Tamandua tetradactyla: one gene and its partner. The protein of the gene in region 1 interacts with the protein of each later gene in a pairwise test. Links are inferred from orthologs where the notes say so. Each region holds a gene or a part of one and is shown in the gene's direction. Other genes may lie near its edges.

Evidence for each region.
Region 2: the proteins of JUNB (region 1) and BATF2 interact in binary tests that used the Homo sapiens proteins (3 or more experiments, as listed by UniProt). The link is inferred for Tamandua tetradactyla from reciprocal best matches to the Homo sapiens genes JUNB and BATF2.

The regions. Positions count from the first base shown.
Region 1 is NC_135337.1:89,834,189-89,844,277, reverse strand, and holds JUNB (transcription factor JunB), read left to right. Parts: upstream 1-4,734; 5' UTR 4,735-5,035; coding exon 5,036-6,079; 3' UTR 6,080-6,698; downstream 6,699-10,089. Other genes in the region: PRDX2 (peroxiredoxin-2), read right to left, coding at 8,903-8,988, 9,553-9,683, 9,834-9,956. UniProt on the Homo sapiens protein: Transcription factor involved in regulating gene activity following the primary growth factor response. Binds to the DNA sequence 5'-TGA[GC]TCA-3'.
Region 2 is NC_135335.1:9,566,548-9,576,636, forward strand, and holds the start of BATF2 (basic leucine zipper transcriptional factor ATF-like 2), read left to right. Parts: upstream 1-4,290; 5' UTR 4,291-4,333; intron 4,334-4,916; exon of another isoform or gene 4,917-5,032; 5' UTR 5,033-5,206; intron 5,207-9,866; exon of another isoform or gene 9,867-9,982; 5' UTR 9,983-10,079; intron 10,080-10,089.

The DNA.
Region 1 (10,089 bases):
TAAGACAGCCCCATGCAACCCACCCCACAAACCCTAGACACACACGCAACCCCCCCACCTCCCTCCTACACAGTCACAGCAGAACAGAACCCTAAACTGACAGGCCCTACACACACCCCTGGAGGGTTGGGCCAACACACAAACACACACACACTGATGAAACAGGCCTCACGCACACCCGCACACACACACACACGCAGGCCAGCTGTGGGCAAACCCACAAGCAGAGCAGACGCACCCTGGACCTGTGCCAAGAGGCCCTGTGGGGCTCTGGGGCCCCCTCCCCTAGATCCTGGCACTTCCTCTCTCCACAAATTACCCCCGCCTTCCCTCCCTGCCTTCCTCCCTCTTGCTGTTTATCACTTCCCCCAGGAGGCCCAGCTCAGCAGCTCAGAAGTCAGACCCTGGTGGGGTGTGGGCCTGTCTCTTCATCGCGTCCCCTGTAAAGGGGGCACCGAGGATCTTCGCCATGCTCAGAGACCCCACCACCACCACCAAGACCTCACCAGCAGTGGGGGGAGACAGAACCAGCCCTATGGGAAAAGTTGCCCCATGCCCAGCTGAGTCAGCCCGAGGAGACCAACTCTATACTTCCTGCTTCCAAGAAAACCCAGCAGCTTCCTCTCCAGGAGAGGGGCTAAGGGGGAACTTCCTGAACCCTGAGCCCCCCCAGACCACAGGGATGGGGGAGGGAAATGGCTGGCAGACCAGGGGCTCCTGGGGTGGGGGAGGAGGGCCTCCGTGACTCTTCCTGCCCAGCTGCCTGTCCACACCCAGGGCAGGGACGCGGGAGGCTGGGTGCTGGGACTTGTGTTTTCTCGTCCTGGCCTGCCCACTGGCTGACTCACGGGCAGCCCCCAGCCCAGTTTCCTGGTGGGGGGCCCCGTCAGTCAGTGGGGCCAGGAGTGAGGGGGTCACCAAGCTATTTATAAGAAGCAGAAGTCCCTCATGCCCAGGCCAAAAGCCCCCGAGAGACCCGTGGGTGGGGGTAGGTGAACTTCCTCCTTATCCTGCACCCCCCACCCCCACCCCAGGCCCCTGGGTGTGGGGGAAGCCTGGGCACAAGACTACCCAGCCCCCTGCTGGTCTGGGCACTCAGACCAGGGGAGAGAGGGGGCCATCCTCACACCCTCCTTGTGGGGCTGGCCTTGGCGCCAGTGGGGCGGCATGAGGGGGTGGCACCCAGGCCACAAGGGTGAGACTGGCAGGGGCTGGAACCGGCTGGACCAGCTCAGCTAGGCCCCCGCCTTCCCTCACCAGCCCCATTCCCACCCCCTGCTCAAACACCCTTCCTTGCAGGGTGCATTGAGCGACCCCAACAGGCTGAGGTACCCCACACATACACTCCACGGCACGGCACCCTCTGGGCACCCATCCTGCACCCAACTCCTCCTCTCTCTGGATACAGGAGACCCTTTGTGAAAGGGCCTGCAGAGCTTGGCATACAGTTGGTGCTGCATAAAGGCTCCTTGCCCCCTCATTCTGATTCTCCAGAGCTCTGATCCCCTGCCTGTTTTTCTCTTGGGACCCTGGAGCCAAACTCTTTGGGTTATATCCCAACTCCACCCCTCATAACTGTGGGACACTGGGCAAGTTCTGGAACCTTCTGTGCCTCAGTTTCTCCTCTGTTAAATGGGGAGACCAAGAGACTTTATTTTGCTGGGTTGCTGCAAGCGTCTAATGACTGACTATACGTAAATCACTTAGAAGCACCATATAAGTGCTAGCTATTAAAGGGATAATTATTATTTCTCCATCTGTCTTCTTACCTGAAGTGTCTGGGAGTCTGTCTCTGTCTCCAGGACGCTAACCCTGCCCCTGTCTGTCTCCCTGCCCTGACCCCAACCCCCAAACACCTACTCTTCCTTGCTCCACACTCTGGGACTTGCCCTCTGTCCCTTGCTGGCACAGCTTTGCCCCTGCAGGGCTCTTCCCCACACACCTCACCCCAGGTCTGAGTTACAATTGGCCTATGGGACCTGCAGGTCAACTTCCCAAGGTGCTGCTGCCCTCTGGCCTACCCTGCCCAGCCCCCCCAACGCTGCCCGCTGCGCCCCCACCGGGCCAGATGTCAGCTGCAGTTATTAGCATGGGCGGGAGACACAGGCCTGGCAGCGCGCCGGTCAGACTCAGCCACCAGCAGCCGCCGCCGGAATCTCCCCGAGACTGGGGCGGGGGAGGGGAGCCGGTAGTGCAAGGGGAAGAGGGGTGGGGGGTACTCTTATGGGTGACAGGGACCCTTCAGAGATGGGGACGCCCCCAGCTTTGCATGGGATCTTCTCCCCTCCCTACCCCGCCAGGCTACCACTTTGCTGGACTTCCCCTGCCCCCATACAGCTCAGTTTCTCTTTCGGCTCTGTCATTTTCCTTCTCTCCCCTACCCTGGACCACCTCTGTGCCTGCCAGCCCTAGACTCTCAGCCTGCCTCTATCCCAAAAGGGCTTCCATCCTCCCAGAAGACAGAGTTTGGGAGGCTCAGAGAGGGAGCTGCTCTCCTGAGCAAGCCCAGCCTCCACCTCACCTCTCCCAGAGGTCCACACCCTAGGTGCTTGGAAGTCCCATCTTAAGTCTAACTAGAAGCCTCACTATCTGAATCTCTACCCAGTTTTCCTTGGGAAAGGGTGCTGTGTTTCTTCCCGTTCTCTCCTTGGATTTTTAGGTCCTCTCTGATTGTGGGGGGAGGTGTCCCTGTGGGGAGGGGGGACCTCCTCAGGAGGGAATGGAGACCCCCTCCAGGCATTCTAGATGGGAGATGGGAACCGCTGGCTAAGACGCAAGGGGAGCCCTAGCCTACAAGAGCCAGGGAGTGGCGCCCCAGGAGTGTGTGTCTGAGGGTTTGGGGGAGCGCCCAGACCTCCTGGCAGAGGGGAAGGGCACCCCGCCCGGAGGAAGGAGGCAGCAGTGCCAGCCCGCCCAGGCGCCGGGGCGCCTCCAGGCATTGCCCAGCCTCCTTGGTGCCCCGTCGGGCCGGGGGCGAAGTCCGACCCAGGCCCGCGGGCAGGCGGGGACCTGCCTGGCTGGACCCGGCAGGACGCGGCCCCAGAGCGGCTGGGCGGGGCGGGGCCGGGCGGCCGTCGGGGCCCTGGGGGCGGAGGTCGGGGCTGGTCGGGACTAGCCGTCCGGGGGCCCAGGGCGCCCTGGGACCTGGCAGATCCCCGGGCTCCCGGCTCCGGGCTGGGGGCCCCGGGACGGCGCAGGCCCCACCCCTTCCTGTGACCTTATATGGGCGTGGGGTGGGGGTGGGGGGAGACTCCAGGGGCCGCCCGGCACCCAGTCCTGCCAGCGGACTCCGGCCTGTTGCCATGGCGACCAGGCCCCGCTCCCCAGGCTACTCCCCGTTCGGTGGGGCCAATGGAACCATCCCCGCGTTGTCTGCCCGCGCCGCGGACGGAACCATTCCCGGAGCGGGGGGCGGTGGCACCGACGAGCTCGGCGCGGCCAGGCCTCGGCGGGGGTCGCGCGTCCGGCTTCTTCTTCCCAGGCGCGGAGCCCGGGCGGGGCGCACGGTCCCGGAGGATCCGAGTGACGGAGGCAGGGCCGGGCTCCTTCCCCGGGGGCTGTTGCCACACTTCCTGCCGCCACGCTCTTTCCCCAGCCTGTTTCTAAGGAAGGGAGTGGGGCAGCGAGGCCGCGCCCCAGCCGTCGGGCTGGGTCCCAACTCCAGGACCCAACACGGTGTCGGGCGACCACAGGGTCACTGGGGGAAGGGCATCGGATTGGGGACAGAGTATTGGGGTGCCACGGGTCACGCACTGGAGTGGGGGTTGGGGTGGGGCTCGAGTCATGGAACGCCCAGCACGTCCCGTTCCCAGGATCCTAGAAGCCCCCTCTCTTCCTGCTTGCCCCAGCTGGGGACCCTCCCGTCATTGTCCTCTAAGCTCCAAAGATGTGCCTCGACCCCTTTCTAACTCTAGTCCATCAAGGCTTCTCAGATGGCCCCTAATCCCCAACCTAGCCCCTCGGACAGGCATGTCTCATATTCTACTCCACATATTTCCCCAGACCCAAAATGTACCCCAAGACCCTAACCCACTTTCTATATATCTAGAGCCCCCAACTCCTTCCCCTCCCCACTTAAGGGGACCCTCAGACTCTGCCATGGACGTGAGGATCCCTACTAGTTCCCTGCCTAATGGGTTGTCCACCCCTTCCCCCGTGTGCCTGTAATTCTCTCCCCTCCTCTCTGGGCCTGCGTTAAGCCCCTCCTGTGAAAATTTCCTCTGCGATCCTCACTCAATTCCTGGGACAGGTATCTCCTTACTCCTCTGCATTTACCCTGTTTAACCCTCCTCTGCCTACTTTTTGGGTGCTCACAGTGTATTCTCAGCACCCCCTCCCCAACCCCTCTCTGACACTCGGGGTCCCTCAAACCTTTCCACGTTCGCCCTGGGACACCACCCCCACCCCAGCCTCGGCTCCTGGCCCTCGAATCTCTCCCCGGGTACTCCTGGGGAAGCATCGCCCTCCTCGCAGCCCCTCCCCGGTGTACATCGGGCCCCCTAGCAGCCCTGCTTCGCGTACCCCTGGGTCCTCCAGCCCCTCCCCGTGAAGCCGCGCCGCGCCACCCGGCCCGTGGCCGCTGTTTACAAGGACACGCGCTTCCTGACAGTGACGCGAGCCGCCTCCTCCCCTTCCCCACGCTCCGGGAGGGGGGCGCGGGGGCCCGGCTCTGGCGACGGCCAATCGGGGCGCACTTCCGCAGCTGACAAGCGTCGTATAAAGGCGGGCGGCTCCAGCCCAGCAGCAGGGACCTTGAGCGCGGCCGGGCCAGCGTCGGAGACAGCCGGGAGCGGAGGGGCAGTGGGAAAGCGAACGCCGAGAAAGCGAGCGCGCCCGAGGAGGGCGAGAGGGGCTTGGGCAGGCGGGCAGAGCTCCCGCGCACAGCCGCTGGCTGGCCGCCCCCCGCCGGTGCGGGACCCCGGGAACGCGCGTCCAGACACGCGATCCAGCCACCTCCGCGGACAGCGAGCAGCTCGCTGCAGCGAGGCCCGGGGCGGCCCCGCAGGGACCCCCCCAGCCCGCCCGGGCCGCCCGGATGTGCACTAAAATGGAACAGCCCTTCTACCACGACGACTCGTACGCGGCGGCAGGCTACGGCCGGGCCCCTGGCGGCCTCTCCCTACACGACTACAAACTGCTGAAACCCAGCCTGGCGCTCAACCTGGCGGATCCCTACCGGGGCCTTAAAGCGCCCGGGGCGCGCGGTCCCGGCCCGGAGGGCAGCGGTGGCGGCAGCTACTTTTCCGGCCAGGGCTCGGACACCGGTGCGTCGCTCAAGCTCGCCTCGTCGGAGCTGGAGCGCCTGATAGTCCCCAACAGCAACGGCGTGATCACGACGACGCCCACGCCGCCGGGACAGTACTTTTACCCCCGCGGGGGCGGCAGCGGCGGAGGGGCGGGGGGCGCAGGGGGCAGCGTCACCGAGGAGCAAGAGGGCTTCGCCGACGGCTTCGTCAAAGCTCTGGACGACCTGCACAAAATGAACCACGTGACGCCCCCCAACGTGTCCCTGGGCACCAGCGGGGGGCCCCCGGCCGGGCCCGGGGGTGTCTACGCGGGCCCGGAGCCGCCTCCCGTCTACACCAACCTCAGCAGCTACTCCCCGGCCTCTGCGCCCTCCGGAGGCGCCGGGGCGGCGGTCGGGACCGGGAGCTCGTACCCGACGGCCACTATCAGCTACCTCCCTCACGCGCCGCCCTTCGCCGGCGGCCACCCGGCGCAGCTGGGCCTGGGTCGCGGCGCCTCGGCCTTCAAGGAGGAACCGCAGACCGTGCCCGAGGCGCGCAGCCGCGACGCCACACCGCCGGTGTCCCCAATCAACATGGAAGACCAGGAGCGCATCAAAGTGGAGCGCAAACGGCTGCGGAACCGGCTGGCCGCCACCAAGTGCCGGAAGCGGAAGCTGGAGCGCATCGCGCGCCTGGAGGACAAGGTGAAGACGCTCAAGGCCGAGAACGCGGGGCTGTCGAGCACCGCCGGCCTCCTCCGGGAGCAAGTGGCCCAGCTCAAACAGAAGGTCATGACCCACGTCAGCAACGGCTGCCAACTGCTGCTCTCGGTCAAGGGCCACGCCTTCTGAGCGCCCCCCCTGGACGGACACCCACCCACCCCAGCCTGGACGGCTGGGTGCACTCCTCCCACGGGGGCGAGGGGACAGGCGGTGGGCACCGGCCCCGGGGGCCTTGGGGACGCCGCCAACCACACTGGACTCCCGCCCGCCAGCCGGCGCGCTGCTCCCACTCCATCCACCTCGAGGTTTACAGACTCCGAGCTCCACGTTTATTATTATTATTTTTTTTGTATTTTTTTTTTCTGCTGGAAACAGACTCAATTCATATTGAATATAATATATTTGTGTATTTAACAGGGAAGGAGGGAGGGAGGGGGCGACCGCGGCGGAGCTGGCCCCGCCGCCCGGTACTCCAGCCCGCGGGGACACTGGGGAGGGGACCCCCGCCCCCTGCCCTCCCCCCCAACTGCATCGTACTGTGGAGAAGAAACACGCACTTGGTCTCTAAAGAGTTTATTTTAAGATGTGTTTGTGTGTGTGTGTGCGTTTGTTGTTCTGACTTTTTATTGAATTTATTTAAGTAAAAAAAAAAAAAAGGTTCTTTATTAATTTCTGGAGTCATTTTTTTCCCCCCAATGTCAGGAGGGAGGACGAGGAGGAGGGAAGGGGAGAAGGCTGCTCCCCCAGTGCTGTGCGTGGCTCGCTCCGCATCTGTGCCACCCTCCCCAGCACGGACCCTGTCTCCGGCCCTCCCCGCGGTCCCGGGTCGCGCGCGGGAGGGGCGGAATGCGCAGGCGCGGGAGGCGCGATTCGCGCAGGCGCGGCCCCGCCCCGCCGCGCGCGCCGGGGCTTTCCCCGCTGACGCAGCGGAAGAGCTGCCCATATATGGGCCGATTCTGCCCAGTGACGCGCAGGCCGTCTCCGGGCAGATTCCGGGAATCCCCTCCCCCGCTCTGCCGGGCAGGGCCGCGGCGCCGGGAAGGGGGCCGGGATTTTCCCAGGCGGGCCGGCTACTCGGGCCCGGAAAGCCCCAAGCCGGGGTCCAGCGCACCCGCGGTGGGCGGGCCTCGCCCTTTCGGGTTGGCGCCGCGCCGCGCCCCCCCCCCCACCCCGCCTTCTCCCTAGGACCCGACCCGGGCGCGGGGGCTGCGGCAGTCTCCGCGCCGTTGCGCCGCCCTGCCCCGCCACCCCCGCCAGGAAGGGCGGCGCCCGCTTGCCAGCTTCCCCTCCCGGGTGCCAGGCCCGGAGCGGGGCTGTTGCCAGGTCTGGTCCTGCCGGGGCGGCTGCTCGGGCCGCCGGGCACCACCCCCGCCCTCGCACGCACGGGGCAGGCTCCCCCACCCCGTAGCTGGGGCGGGAGAGGACGCGGCCGCGCCCCCGGGGTAGGGGGGATCTGTCCAGTGTCCAAGCTGGGAAGCCCCCAGAAACGCGGAGGAAAACCTAAGCCGCGGGGACTGGGGTGGTGGTGGGTGGTGGTGAGTGGGTGGCGGTAAAACCTGCAACTTAATGAATTCCTTTCTACAAGTTTGAACCACTGGGTCCAGGAGACACCGCCTGGCCCAAGAGAGACAGACTATAACCAACAAGCAGACATGATCGTGTGCTAGGAAGCAAACAAACAAACAGCTCCAGGGGGTAGGGTGGTGGTGGTGGTGGGGAAGCTGGCCTTTCCTTGATTTCAATAAGGGGACCCTGAGAAAATTCCAGGGAAAAGCATTCTCGTCAGAGGAAAGGGCATATGCAAAGTTCCTGTGGCCAGAAAAAGAACACCCTGTTAAGGAACAGCAAGAAGTTAGTGTAGCTGGGATGACCTGAGCCATAGGATGTGGTGGGGAGAGGAAATCACTGCCTCATTAGCCTTAGAGAGGAATGTAAATTATATTCCCAGGGAGATGAGTGAACCTTCGAGGATTATTAGACTGGGGAGCACTATCAGAATTGGTCTGTGGATAAAACGAGACTATCAGCCCTGTTCGGTAGAATCAAGTCGGGGCCCAGAGTGGCAAAGTCACTTGCCTGAACACACACAGCAAACTGCACAGCAGCATGGTAATTTGGAACACTGCCCTGCCCCTGACACCAGCCTTGATGTTTGACCCCAGGAGCAGACAGGCAGCCCCCTTCCAAGCCTGGGGTGGGACAGAGCCCCCCCCCCCCCCCCCCCGGGGTTGTGTGGGTTTCCCAACCCTCCAGGAGGAGGTCTCTGTCCTCTTCCTTGTAAGACTGGGCTACAGCCTGCCCCTGGCAGCCATCACGGTAACTAACCTAGTAACCAGGTCTGGACCAGGGTCCCCACCCTAGGCTTGGCACACTTTGCCTCCTTTAACTCAGGCTGCTAGTCTTGACCCCATTTTACTGGGATGCAGGGAAGGTGGTGGCTATTCAACAGCATTTGAACCCGGGCTGGCTGATAGGCCATGCTCTGTCCTGCCTGGCCAGGATTCAGCATGTCACACAGCCTGGGATTGCTCCCTGCAAGGGGCAAACACCCCAGTTCCCCCAGTCCCCCCTCCTGCCAAGGAAGAACAAGTAGAGGGAGCATGAAGTAAGGCTGCCACCTTGTGGTGGCGGTAAATAACTACAGGATCAGTTTCCCAGACAGGAGGCCTGAGACACCACTTGGTGGGGGTGGGGCAGGGGGAGGGGAAGACAGACTAACACACCCAGACACACTCACATCTGTCCCTAACACTTTATTGGTTCCCCCCAAGCCTGTGCCCAGCTGAGTGGGATCTGGGCAGAGGGGATTTCTCAGGTCCCAGGTGGGGGCATCAGAAGAACCTTGGGGCCCCAAACCGGGAAGCTACAGGGGTCTTTCCTAGGGTCAGCACTGGGCACCCAGGCAGCGGCGTGGCTGAGGGCAGAGGGCCCAAGCTTCACCCGCCTGCTGGCCTAGTTGTGCTTGGCGAAGTATTCCTTGCTGTCATCCACGTTGGGCTTGATTGTGTCGCTGCCCGGCTTCCAGCCCGCGGGACAGACTGTGGAAGACATGAGAACTGATGTGTGAGCCTACAGCCCCATTTTCCAGGTAGAGGCAGGGGGGAGGGAGGAACAGATACAAAGCAAGGGCCTGAGTTGCAGTAGAAAAACCTAAGAACCAATTGGTCCAGGCTCAAAAAGAGAAGCCCCATCCCATCACCCTCCAAGCACCTGTTTATCCTCACAGGCCCAGCTGCAGTATCTTCTGCCTCATCATTTTCCTTCTCTTATTCTCACTTGCTTTTTGGTGTTTTCAACCCCATGTCTCACCCTCAGCCCCAGTGCTACTGGACTTGAGCATCTACATTCAGACTCTTTAACCAGGATCCAACTAACATACCCCAAGCCTAATGTGCTATATGCAACCTCGAATACCTTCTATGGTTCCCTATGACCTCCCAGCTGCGCACCCTTACAAGGAGGCATCTCCTCCACCAGACTAGAAACTCCTTGAGCTGAACCTTCTTTGGGGGCCCTAACATGCCCCTACCCCTGCTCAGGTGATAGGGCAGGCAGTGATTGTTTGCAAGAGCCACTGAGAGGCTCTCTGTGTGTCCACTCACCTTCGCCATGCTCATCCGTGTACTGGAAGGCCTGGACTAGGCGTAGGGCCTCTTCCACGGAGCGTCCCACGGGCAAGTCATTCACTGTGATCTGACGAAGGATTCCCTTGCCATCGATGATAAACAGGCCCCTGAAGACATCAGGGTTCAGTAGTGAGGAGCTGGGACACTCCCTGTGGCCAGGAGCTGGAGGGAGCATGGACCACCTCCAGCCACAGAGCTGGGGATAGAGGGGAAATGGGAAGGGGGCTCCCTGAGGGTGGGGGAGGGTCCCTCAGTACCTGTAAGCAATGCCCTCATCTTCCTTCAACACCCCATAATCATGGGACAGGCTTCTGGTCACGTCAGCCAGCAGGGGGATGTTCAGCGGGCCCAAGCCTCCCTCTTTCCGCGGGGTGTTGATCCTGGGGGTGGGGGAGACAGGGCTGGGGCCTCAGGAGGTCCCACACAGTGAGATCCTTACCCTTTGCGCCTGGGTGATAAGGGCTGGAGTGGGATGCTGGAGGCAGGAGATATTGGGGCCCTGGGAGTACCACC
Region 2 (10,089 bases), on another chromosome or scaffold:
TCACTCATGATATAGATTAACTATAATATACAAATTCAGTGAATTGAAGTTGGGAGCATGGGTTATCAGGTTGGGGCCTAGGTTGTGAGCTCTTACAGTAGCCACATCCATTCTGGAGTTTTAATTGTTATTTCTAAATCCTAAAATACTAAGCTGTTTGTGTATAACCTGGTCCTTCCCAGAAATTTTGGGTATTTATGTGACACTTGAGACTCAGAGTTAGAGCTCTGAAGCTATGAAAGTCAGCAGTACCCCATACTGTTTAAAAGTTGAAAAAGGGATCAGGCTTTGAGTAGAGATATGAATGAAGCTAATCTGAACAAGACTAAGGTAAATCAGGATACAGGGTACAGGATGATATCATCCATGTTTTAAAACTTCAACTTCTGTGTGCAACCAAAGGGAGATATGTTTATTTGTTGCAAAATTTTTATTTTGGGTAGTGTATTATCTAATTTAACCTGTATGGTCAGTTTATTTGACCACCATAATTACATGGAATCTTGAATAGGGCATGAGGTCTTGTTGGTTGGTGCAGGTTAGTGCAGGTTAGTCCATATATCCCAAAGTAATGTGGACAAAGAATGAAAAAGCATTTGCAAAGTTCCCTTGGGGAACTGGGGAGAAAGGAGAAAATAGTCAGTTTCCACATCTGGGGAATTATTGATATTCTCACAAGCAGTGAGGAAGACCAATCAATTTAATAGACTGAGCCCTTAATCTTGGGCTTCACCCCTAAGAAACTTATTCCTGCAAAGAAGAAGCTAGGCCTACTTGTAATTATGCCTTAAAGTCACCCCAGAGAACCTCTTTTGTTGCTCAGATGTGACCTCTCTCTCTCTAAGCCAACTTGGCAAGTGAACTCACTGCCCTTCCCCCTACAGGGGCATGACTCCCAGGTGTACAGATATCCCTGGCAACATGGGACAGAACTCCTGGAATGAGCCAGGACCCGGCATGATGGGATTGAGAAAGGCTTCTTGACCAAAAGGGGGAAGAGCAAAATGAGACAAAATAAAGTTTCAGAGGCTGAGAGATTTCGTACAGAGTTGAGAGGTTATCCTGGAGGTTATTCTTTTGTATTCTTATGATTGAATAACGATATTGTTTTTACAGTGTGATTGTGTGATTGTGAAACCTTGTGTCTGATGCTCCCTTTATCCAGGGCATTTATAGATGAGTAAAAAAATAAATAATGGGGGGGGAATAAAGGGGTAAAAAAATTGCATAGATTGAAACGCTAGTGGCCAATGAGAGAGGGGAATGGGATATATGAGTTTTTCTTTTTTCTTTTTATTTCTTTTTCTGGAGTGCTGCAGATGTTCTAAAAAACGATCATGGTGATGAATAAACATCTATGTTATGATATTGTGAGCCACTGATTGTATACTATGGATGGACTGTAAGTGTGTAAAACTTTCTCAATAAAAATATAAAAAGTAAAATAAAACACTGTCACAGGCAGTGTTTTTCTTGTCCTCTTGAGAAGAAGAAAAAAATTCAAAGAAATAAAATCTTTGGGGAATACCTTTGGAAGACAACTGGGAAAGAAGATATATAGAGCTGTAATTATATAATAACGTATAACTCTGTGTGTGTATGTATGTGTGTGTGTGTGTGTATATATATATATATATATATATAATTTTTCTCCCACAAAACAGAATCTTGAAATGAAAATACCCAAATCCTGACAGCTATGAAGCCTGCTTTTGAAGGAGGAACTTTTGTGAGCTATGTGGGCTCCAACTTGAGGATAGAATTCTGGGCATCTTTTTATAAGGCATGCTTTAGCCATTGTCTGTGGAGAACAATTTGGCATTATAGTTTTAATTTAAAAAGTGATAGCCTTTTTGATCCAGCCAATCCACTCCATAGATCACCTTTATAGTCAACAAGGAAAAACCCCAAAACCCTTTTGTCCGGCGGAAAAAAACAAAAGCCAGGGAGAAGACCCAAGTTAAATATAATTGCTGATTGTTAAGCATTAGCAAGAAGTTTGTATATATATATATAAAAAAATTCTTTGGTGTATATATATACCAAAGAATTTTTTTTACACTTTCTCTAAAAGGAATTTTCTATTTGAGTCTTTCAAACTAAAATGATCACATTTGGTTGCTTAAAATAAAGTTAGTTCATTTTTATTAAATTTTAATATAGTAACCCTTATAACGTTTCCCATTTTTAAAAACTTTTTTATTTGGAGCAGGCCATGGTGGCTCAATGGCAAGAATTCTCGCCTGCCATGCCGGAGTCCCGGGTTCCATTCCTGGTACCTGCCCATGCAAAAAACAAACACAAACAAACAAACAAACAAATGAAAAAACCTTTTTATTTTTGAATAAGTTCAACCTACAGGCCAGTTGCTAAAGTAATATAAAACCTGTGCAGAGAACTCCAACATATTCCCATCCAGATATCCACATCCACATTTTGCCACATTTGCCATATCATTCTTTCTGTCCAGCCGTCCATCTGCCTGTCTATTTTCTAAACATTTGACACTGGCTTCTATACACCATGCTCCTTGAACACTTGATGCTTCTGTATACATTTCCTAAGAACAAGGATATTCATTAACCACCTTATGGGCAGTTATCAAATTCAAGAATTTCAATATTGAAATAAAGCTTCCAATGTGTATTGTAATTTTTTTCACGTGTCCCAATAATATCCTTTGAGCCTTTTCCCTTCCATGATTAGATCCAGTCCAGGATCATATATTACATTTGTCATTGTCTTTTTAGTTTCTTTTTTTAAATTGTGGAAACATATACGCAACATAAACTTTCCCATCTCAGCTGCTCCCAAGCCTAGGACTTCTTTTTTTAAAATAGACTTCATTTTTCAAAAGCAGTTTCAGGTTTAGAAGGAAATTGTGCAAAAAGTACAGATAATTCCTACATAACCCTCTCCTTCCTGACCCCCATAGTAACAAGCGTCTTACATTAGTGTGGTACAAATTGATGAGCCGATATGGACACAATATGAACTTAAGTCCATAGTTCTCTGACTTTTGACAAATGCATAATGTCATGTGCCCACAAGTATGTGGAATAATTTCACTGCCCTAAATGTCCCACGTCCTCTGCCTCTTTAGCCTCTTCTCCTGTACCTCTGGCAACCACTTTCCCCTCTACATACTTCCGCCTTGGGGGCGTGCAGCTGGGATCATGCAGTATGTAGCTTTTTCAGATTGACATTTCATTTAGCAATATGTATTTAAGGTTCCTCCATTTATTTTTCTTTTTTTAAACATGTTTTTATTGTGAAATATAACATAGATACAAAAAAACAATTTCCAAGTACATTTTAATGAGTAGTTATAGAACAGATTTTTTTAACTTTTTTATTGTATAGTATAACATATATACACAGCGAAGAAAGAAAAAAGCAATAATTTTCAAAGCACTCTTCAACAAGTAGTTAGAGGACAGATCCCAGAGTTTGTCATGGGCTACCATACCATCATCTCAGATTTTTCCTTCTAGCTGCTCCAGGACATTGGAAGCTAGAAGGAATATATATGTGTGTGTGTGTGTGTGTATATATATATATATATGTATATAAAATCATCACAATCAACTTTTTTTGTGAAAAGTAGCATATATACAAAAAAGCAATAAATTTCAAAGCACATTGCAACAATTGTAGAAAAGATTTCAGAATTTGGTATGGGTTACAATTCCACAATTTTAGGTTTTTACTTCTAGCTGCTCTAAGGTACTGGAGGCTAAAAGAAATATCAGTATAATGATTCAGCAATCACACTCATTTGTTAAACCCGACCTTCTCTGTATAACTCCACCATCACCTTGGATCTTTTTCCCAGTCTGTAGGGGTATTTGGGCTATGCCCATTCTAACTTTTTCATATTGGAAGGGGCTGTCAATAATATGGGATGGGGGATGGAACTAGTTGATGTTCTGGAGAGGCTGGATTCTCTGCATTTCAGGACTTGTCTGGTCCAGGAACCCATCTGGAGGCTATAGGTTTTTGGAAACTTACCCTAGTGCATGGAACCTTGTAGAATCTTATATAATGCACTAGGTGTTCTTTAGGATTGACAGGAATGGTTTGGTTGGGGTTGGCAAGTTATGACGGATAGCAATGTCTAACTGAAGTTTGCATGAGAATGACCTCCAGAATAGCCTCTCGATTTTATTTGAACTCTCAGCCACTGATACTTTGTTACACTTCTTTTCCCCCTTTTTGTCAAGATGGCATTGTTGATCCCGTGGTGCCAGGGACAGGCTCGTCCCCTTCCATTTCTTTTTTTTTTTTTTAGATGCTTGCTTCGGGAATTGAACCCGGGTCTCCCGCATAAAAGGTGGGCATTCTAACCACTGAACTACCCATGCACCCCTCCCACGATTCCTTTTTATACCTCGTTAGCTCATTTCATTAAAAAAAAAATTTATTCTAGTAACATAAATACAACCTAAAATTTCCCCTTTTAACTACATTCAGATATATAAGTTGGTGATGTCACTTTAGTCACAATGTTTTTTTACCATCACCACCTTCCTTCACCCAAATTTTTCCATCACCCCAAACAGAAACCCTACCCATTAAGCATTAAGTCCCCATTCCCCACCCCCAGCCCTGCCAAATTTAGTTTAGATGAGAAGAAAAATCATGCTTTTTCTCTGGTGAGACATGATGCAGGTCTTATTTTTTGGAACACAGGCCCATAGCAGGGACATTTACCAGCACTTGGTGGCAGCATACCAAAGAGTAGGTATTTGTCCCACCAATTAGTAAGCAAAGACCTGGAAAAGCGTCAGTGCACCCTAAACACTGAAATGGCAAGTAACAGACTTCAGTTCTCCCCAGGCCCACTCCAGTACCCCCACCCCTCCTCTCCTCATAAGCCTTATCTCTCTTATTCAATGGGGATGCACAACATTCAGGCCACGCATGTCTCAGCCCAGCTGCCTCGCGTGGGAGGCAGAGGTGTTATCCAGATGACAGATTGAGCAGTTATCCACCCCTCTGGCATCCACCCACGGGCACATGACATCCTCAGGCCTTTCCAGAACCTTGGCAGTGGGAAAGGACATGAAAATAAGAGCTCCTCCAACAACTGTGCTCACATCTACGTCACCCGTTGCCCGGCCTACCAAGTGCAAGGCGATGCCACTTGCTGCCTGGCTCCTGGAGTAGTGGAGGCCCTGCTGTTCCTTCATCTCCACTTTGACAGGTGAGCAGGTGCCTCCTGGGTGCCTGGAGCCTACTGATGGTTTCCCAGTTCCCCCCATCATCCCCACCCTTTTAAGGCTGGGCCTCAGATCAGCTCCTTCTCTGTCCAGAGCCCTCCCATGCTCCTGGAATCTTCCGGAAGAGTCCCAAATCTTAGGCAGCCTGCAGACCCCCCATGGTGGCCCCCCTTGGCTCCCCACCCTCCTCTCCTGCCCTGCACCTCCTCTCCCCGACCTCCTCTCATCCCCCCCAGGCACTATGGCCTTCTAACAGCCTCTGAACCTCAATTTATTACACTGATTGTTTCCACCACTAGAAGGGAAGCGCCACGAGGGCAGGGACTGTGCTCCTGTTTTCTGTGCTGCCTCCCCAGCAGCTAGAATGGTGCCTGCCCCGCAGTTGGTGTTCTGTAGGTATTTGCTGGACGATGGAGTCAGGGCAAGGGGCGAGTGAGCCAAGAGGGCACATGGCAGGGGGCAGCACAGTGGAGGCAGCTCATCCTTCTTCTTTTTTTTTTTTTAATTTATTTTGTATTATCAAACCAAAACAACACATGAACATGAAAATTCTTAACATAAAAACATTCCATGCATGGTGTACAATCGATGGCTCACAGTATCATCACATAGTAGCATATTCATCGCCATGATCATTTTTTTATTAATTAAAAAAAAAATTAACACAACATTTAGAAATCATTCCATTCTACATATGCAATCAGTAATTCTTAATATCATCACATAGATGTATGATCATCATTTCTTAGTACATTTTCATCGATTTAGGAAAAGAACTAGCAAAACAACAGAAAAAGATATAGAATGATAATATAGAGAAAAAAATAAAAATAATAAAAATAAAAAATTGAAAAAATATATAAAAAAGAAAAAAAAAACAAAAAACACAAACAAACAAAAAAACTATAGCTCAGATGCAGCTTCATTCAGTGTTTTAACATGATTTCTTTACAATTAGGTATTATTGTGCTGTCCATTTTTGAGTTTTTGTATGTAGTCCTGTTGCACAGTCTGTATCCCTTCAGCTCCAATTACCCATTATCTTACCCTGTTTCTAACTCCTGATGGTCTCTGTTACCTATGACATATTCCAAGTTTATTCTCGAATGTCGGTTCACATCAGTGGGACCATACAGTATTTGTCTTTTAGTTTTTGGCTAGACTCACTCAGCATAATGTTCTCTAGGTCCATCCATGTTATTACATGCTTCATAAGTTTATCCTGTCTTAAAGCTGCATAATATTCCATCGTATGTATATACCACAGTTTGTTTAGCCACTCCTCTGTTGATGGACATTTTGGCTATTTCCATCTCTTTGCAATTGTAAATAATGCTGCTGTAAACATTGGTGTGCAAATGTCCGTTTGTGTCTTTGCCCTTAAGTCCTTTGAGTAGATACCTAGCAATGGTATTGCTGGGTCGTATGACAATTCTATATTCAGTTTTTTGAGGAACCGTCAAACTGCCTTCCACAGTGGTTGCACCATTTGACATTCCCACCAACAGTGGATAAGTGTGCCTCTTTCTCCGCATCCTCTCCAGCACTTGTCATTTTCTATTTTGTTGATAATGGCCATTCTGGTGGGTGTGAGATGATATCTCATTGTGGTTTTGATTTGCATTTCTCTAATGGCCAGGGACATTGAGCATCTCTTCATGTGCCTTTTGGCCATTTGTATTTCCTCTTCTGAGAGGTGTCTGTTCAAGTCTTTTTCCCATTTTGTAATTGGGTTGGCTGTCTTTTTGTTGTTGAGTTGAACAATCTCTTTATAAATTCTGGATGCTAGACCTTTATCTGATATGTCGTTTCCAAATATTGTCTCCCATTGTGTAGGCTGTCTTTCTACTTTCTTGATGAAGTTCTTTGATGCACAAAAGTGTTTAATTTTGAGGAGCTCCCATTTATTTATTTATTACTTCAGTGTCTTGCTTTAGGTTTCAGGTCCATAAAACCGCCTCCAATGTAAGTTTCATAAGATGTCTCCCTACATTTTCCTCTAACTGTTTTATGGTCTTAGATCTAATGTTTAGATCTTTGATCCATTTTGAGTTAACTTTTGTATAAAGTGTGAGATATGGGTCTTCTTTCATTCTTTTGCATATGGATATCCAGTTCTCTAGGCACCATTTATTGAAGAGACTGCTCTGTCCCAGGTGAGTTGGCTTGACTGCCTTATCAAAGATCAAATGTCCATAGATGAGAGGGTCTATATCTGAGCACTCTATTCGATTCCATTGGTCGATATATCTATCTTTATGCCAATACCATGCTGTTTTGACCACTGTGGCTTCATAATATGCCTTAAAGTCTGGCAGCGTGAGACCTCCAACTTCGTTTTTTTTCCTCAAGATACTTTTAGCAATTCGGGGCACCCTGCCCTTCCAGATAAATTTGCTTATTGGTTTTTCTATTTCTGAAAAATAAGTTGTTGGGATTTTGATTGGTATTGCATTGAATCTGTAAATCAATTTAGGTAGGATTGACATCTTAACTATATTTAGTCTTCCAATCCATGAACACGGTATGCCCTTCCATCTATTTAGGTCTTCTGTGATTTCTTTTAACAGTTTTTTGTAGTTTTCTTTGTATAGGTTTTTTGTCTCTTTAGTTGAATTTATTCCTAGGTATTTTATTCTTTTAGTTGCAATTGTAAATGGAATTCATTTCTTTTTTTTTTTTTTTTTTTTTTTTTTTTTAAAGGAAAGACAGAAGGAAGGAAGGATAGAAGGAAGGAAGGAAGGAAGAAAGGGAAACATCTTTAAACATTTTCTTGTTTTATTGTATTCTGTTTCTCCGTATTTGTTACATGGGCTGGGGCCGGGAATCGAACCGAGGTCCTCCGGCATAGCAGGCAAGCACTTTGCCCGCTGAGCCACCGCGGCCCGCCCTGGAATTCATTTCTTGATTTCCCCCTCAGCTTGTTCATTGCTAGCGTATAGAAATGCTACAGATTTTTGAATGTTGATCTTGTAACCTGCTACTTTGCTGTACTCATTTATTAGCTCTAGTAGTTTTGTTGTGGATTTTTCCGGGTTTTCGACGTATAGTATCATATCGTCTGCAAACAGTGATAGTTTTACTTCTTCCTTTCCAATTTTGATGCCTTGTATTTCTTTTTCTTGTCTAATTGCTCTGGCTAGAACCTCCAACACGATGTTGAATAATAGTGGTGATAATGGACATCCTTGTCTTGTTCCTGATCTTAGGGGGAAAGCCATGATCATTTTTGAAAACATTTGCATCACTCCAGAAAAAGAAACAAAAAGAAAAAACTCACACATGCCATACCCCTTACCCCTCCCTCTCACTGACCACTAGTGTTTCCTTTTTTTTTTTTTTCCAGCTCCTCTTAACCTCCAGGCCTCCCTGCCTCACAGCCAGCCCAACATAGCTCCCAGCCTAAGCCCATCCGAGGGGGGCCTCTCACAGGCACCCTCTCCCCACAGGTGTCCAGGGAGGACGGCGGGGGAGTGCCAGCACTGGGACAGAAACCCAGGACCCCGTGCCCTCGGCACCCAGCCTCCACTTGGGGTGTGTCCCCTCAATCTCACAAACATAGCCAACCTCTGGCCCTCGGGTCCCCCTGCCTCCTGGCGGGGGCTCAGGCTGGCCCCCGCCTCCAGCCACAGCAGGCATGGGGCTTTGACAGCCAGGAGTCAGAGGATGCGAGGCCAGGCAGCACAGGAGCTGCGGGGAGCCCTGCTCTCCTGAGACCCCCTCCCTGGCCCTTCTTCTTTGGGGGGCCCCTCCCCTCCCTCAGGAACCATGACCCCTGCCCTCTGGGAGAAATTCGAATGCTTTCCTGCCCTTCTCAGGGTGCCCTGAGTCCCCCACCATTTCCACCCCAGGACCTGGAGATGTTTTTAGGGGTGGGGGTGGGGGCAGCATGCTGGGGCTGCCTCAGAGCATGGGACAGCCGGGCCCTGCCACCCCCTTGCACTTGGCCAAGCCCCCTCCTCTCGCTAAGCCTCAGTTTCCCCAGCTGTAAAACAAGGAGACTGGCTGGACAATCTCTAAACTGTCTCTAGAATTCTCTGGCCGTGACCTGCCTGGCTCCCTGCAGTCCTTGCCCGTCCTTGGTCCTTTGTTCGCAGAGGTCAGCGCTCTCCTGCCTGTTCCCTTGTGAGCCACTGGCTGGGTGGGGTCAGGCTTCATTCCCCCCAACCCCATGCCTGGGGACCCCCTCCAGGCCCCTTCCCCAACACCGATCACCACGTGAATCACGCCTGCCTCTCCAGGGCTGTTGTGGGAGCCAGCAGTGAGGACAGGAAGGGGGAGAGCAGTGTGGGGAGGGGAAGGGGCCCCAGGAAGGCCAGGGCCAGAGTCCTTTCTCTCCCAGCAATCGGGGTCTCAGCAGGGCACCCACCCTGGGCTTCGGCCACCAGTCCGCTGGGACTGTGACAGCATAAGGGGAGACGGAGCCTGGAGAAGGGGGGCAAGAGAGAGGGGACCCACCCTTCCCGAGCTGGCCGGTGACCTCTTCCCACACGGGCTCCCAGTCTTCATGACAGGACCTGGCAAAACAAGGGCACTAGCTCCATTTTCCAGAGAAAGAAACCAGGCCCAGAGAAACCAAGGGCCTCTTCCGAGGCCACACAGCACAGCTAGAAAGCTGCAGAGCAGGGATGTGCACCCAGGTCTGGCCGAGGCTTGGACTACTGGGGTCCCCGCTCCCACATCCTGCAAAGCTCTGGGAGACTCGCTGATCCCTAAATGCTCAGCTGTTTATTATTTATACTCCCGGCCCACAACCACAGGTTTGAGTCAGCTTCCCGGGGAAGATGCGGATGTCAGAGGAGCGGCAGGAAATCCGAAGCACAGAGCTTTGGCAGACAGCCTGGGCCCTCCGCCCAGGTAGCGTGAC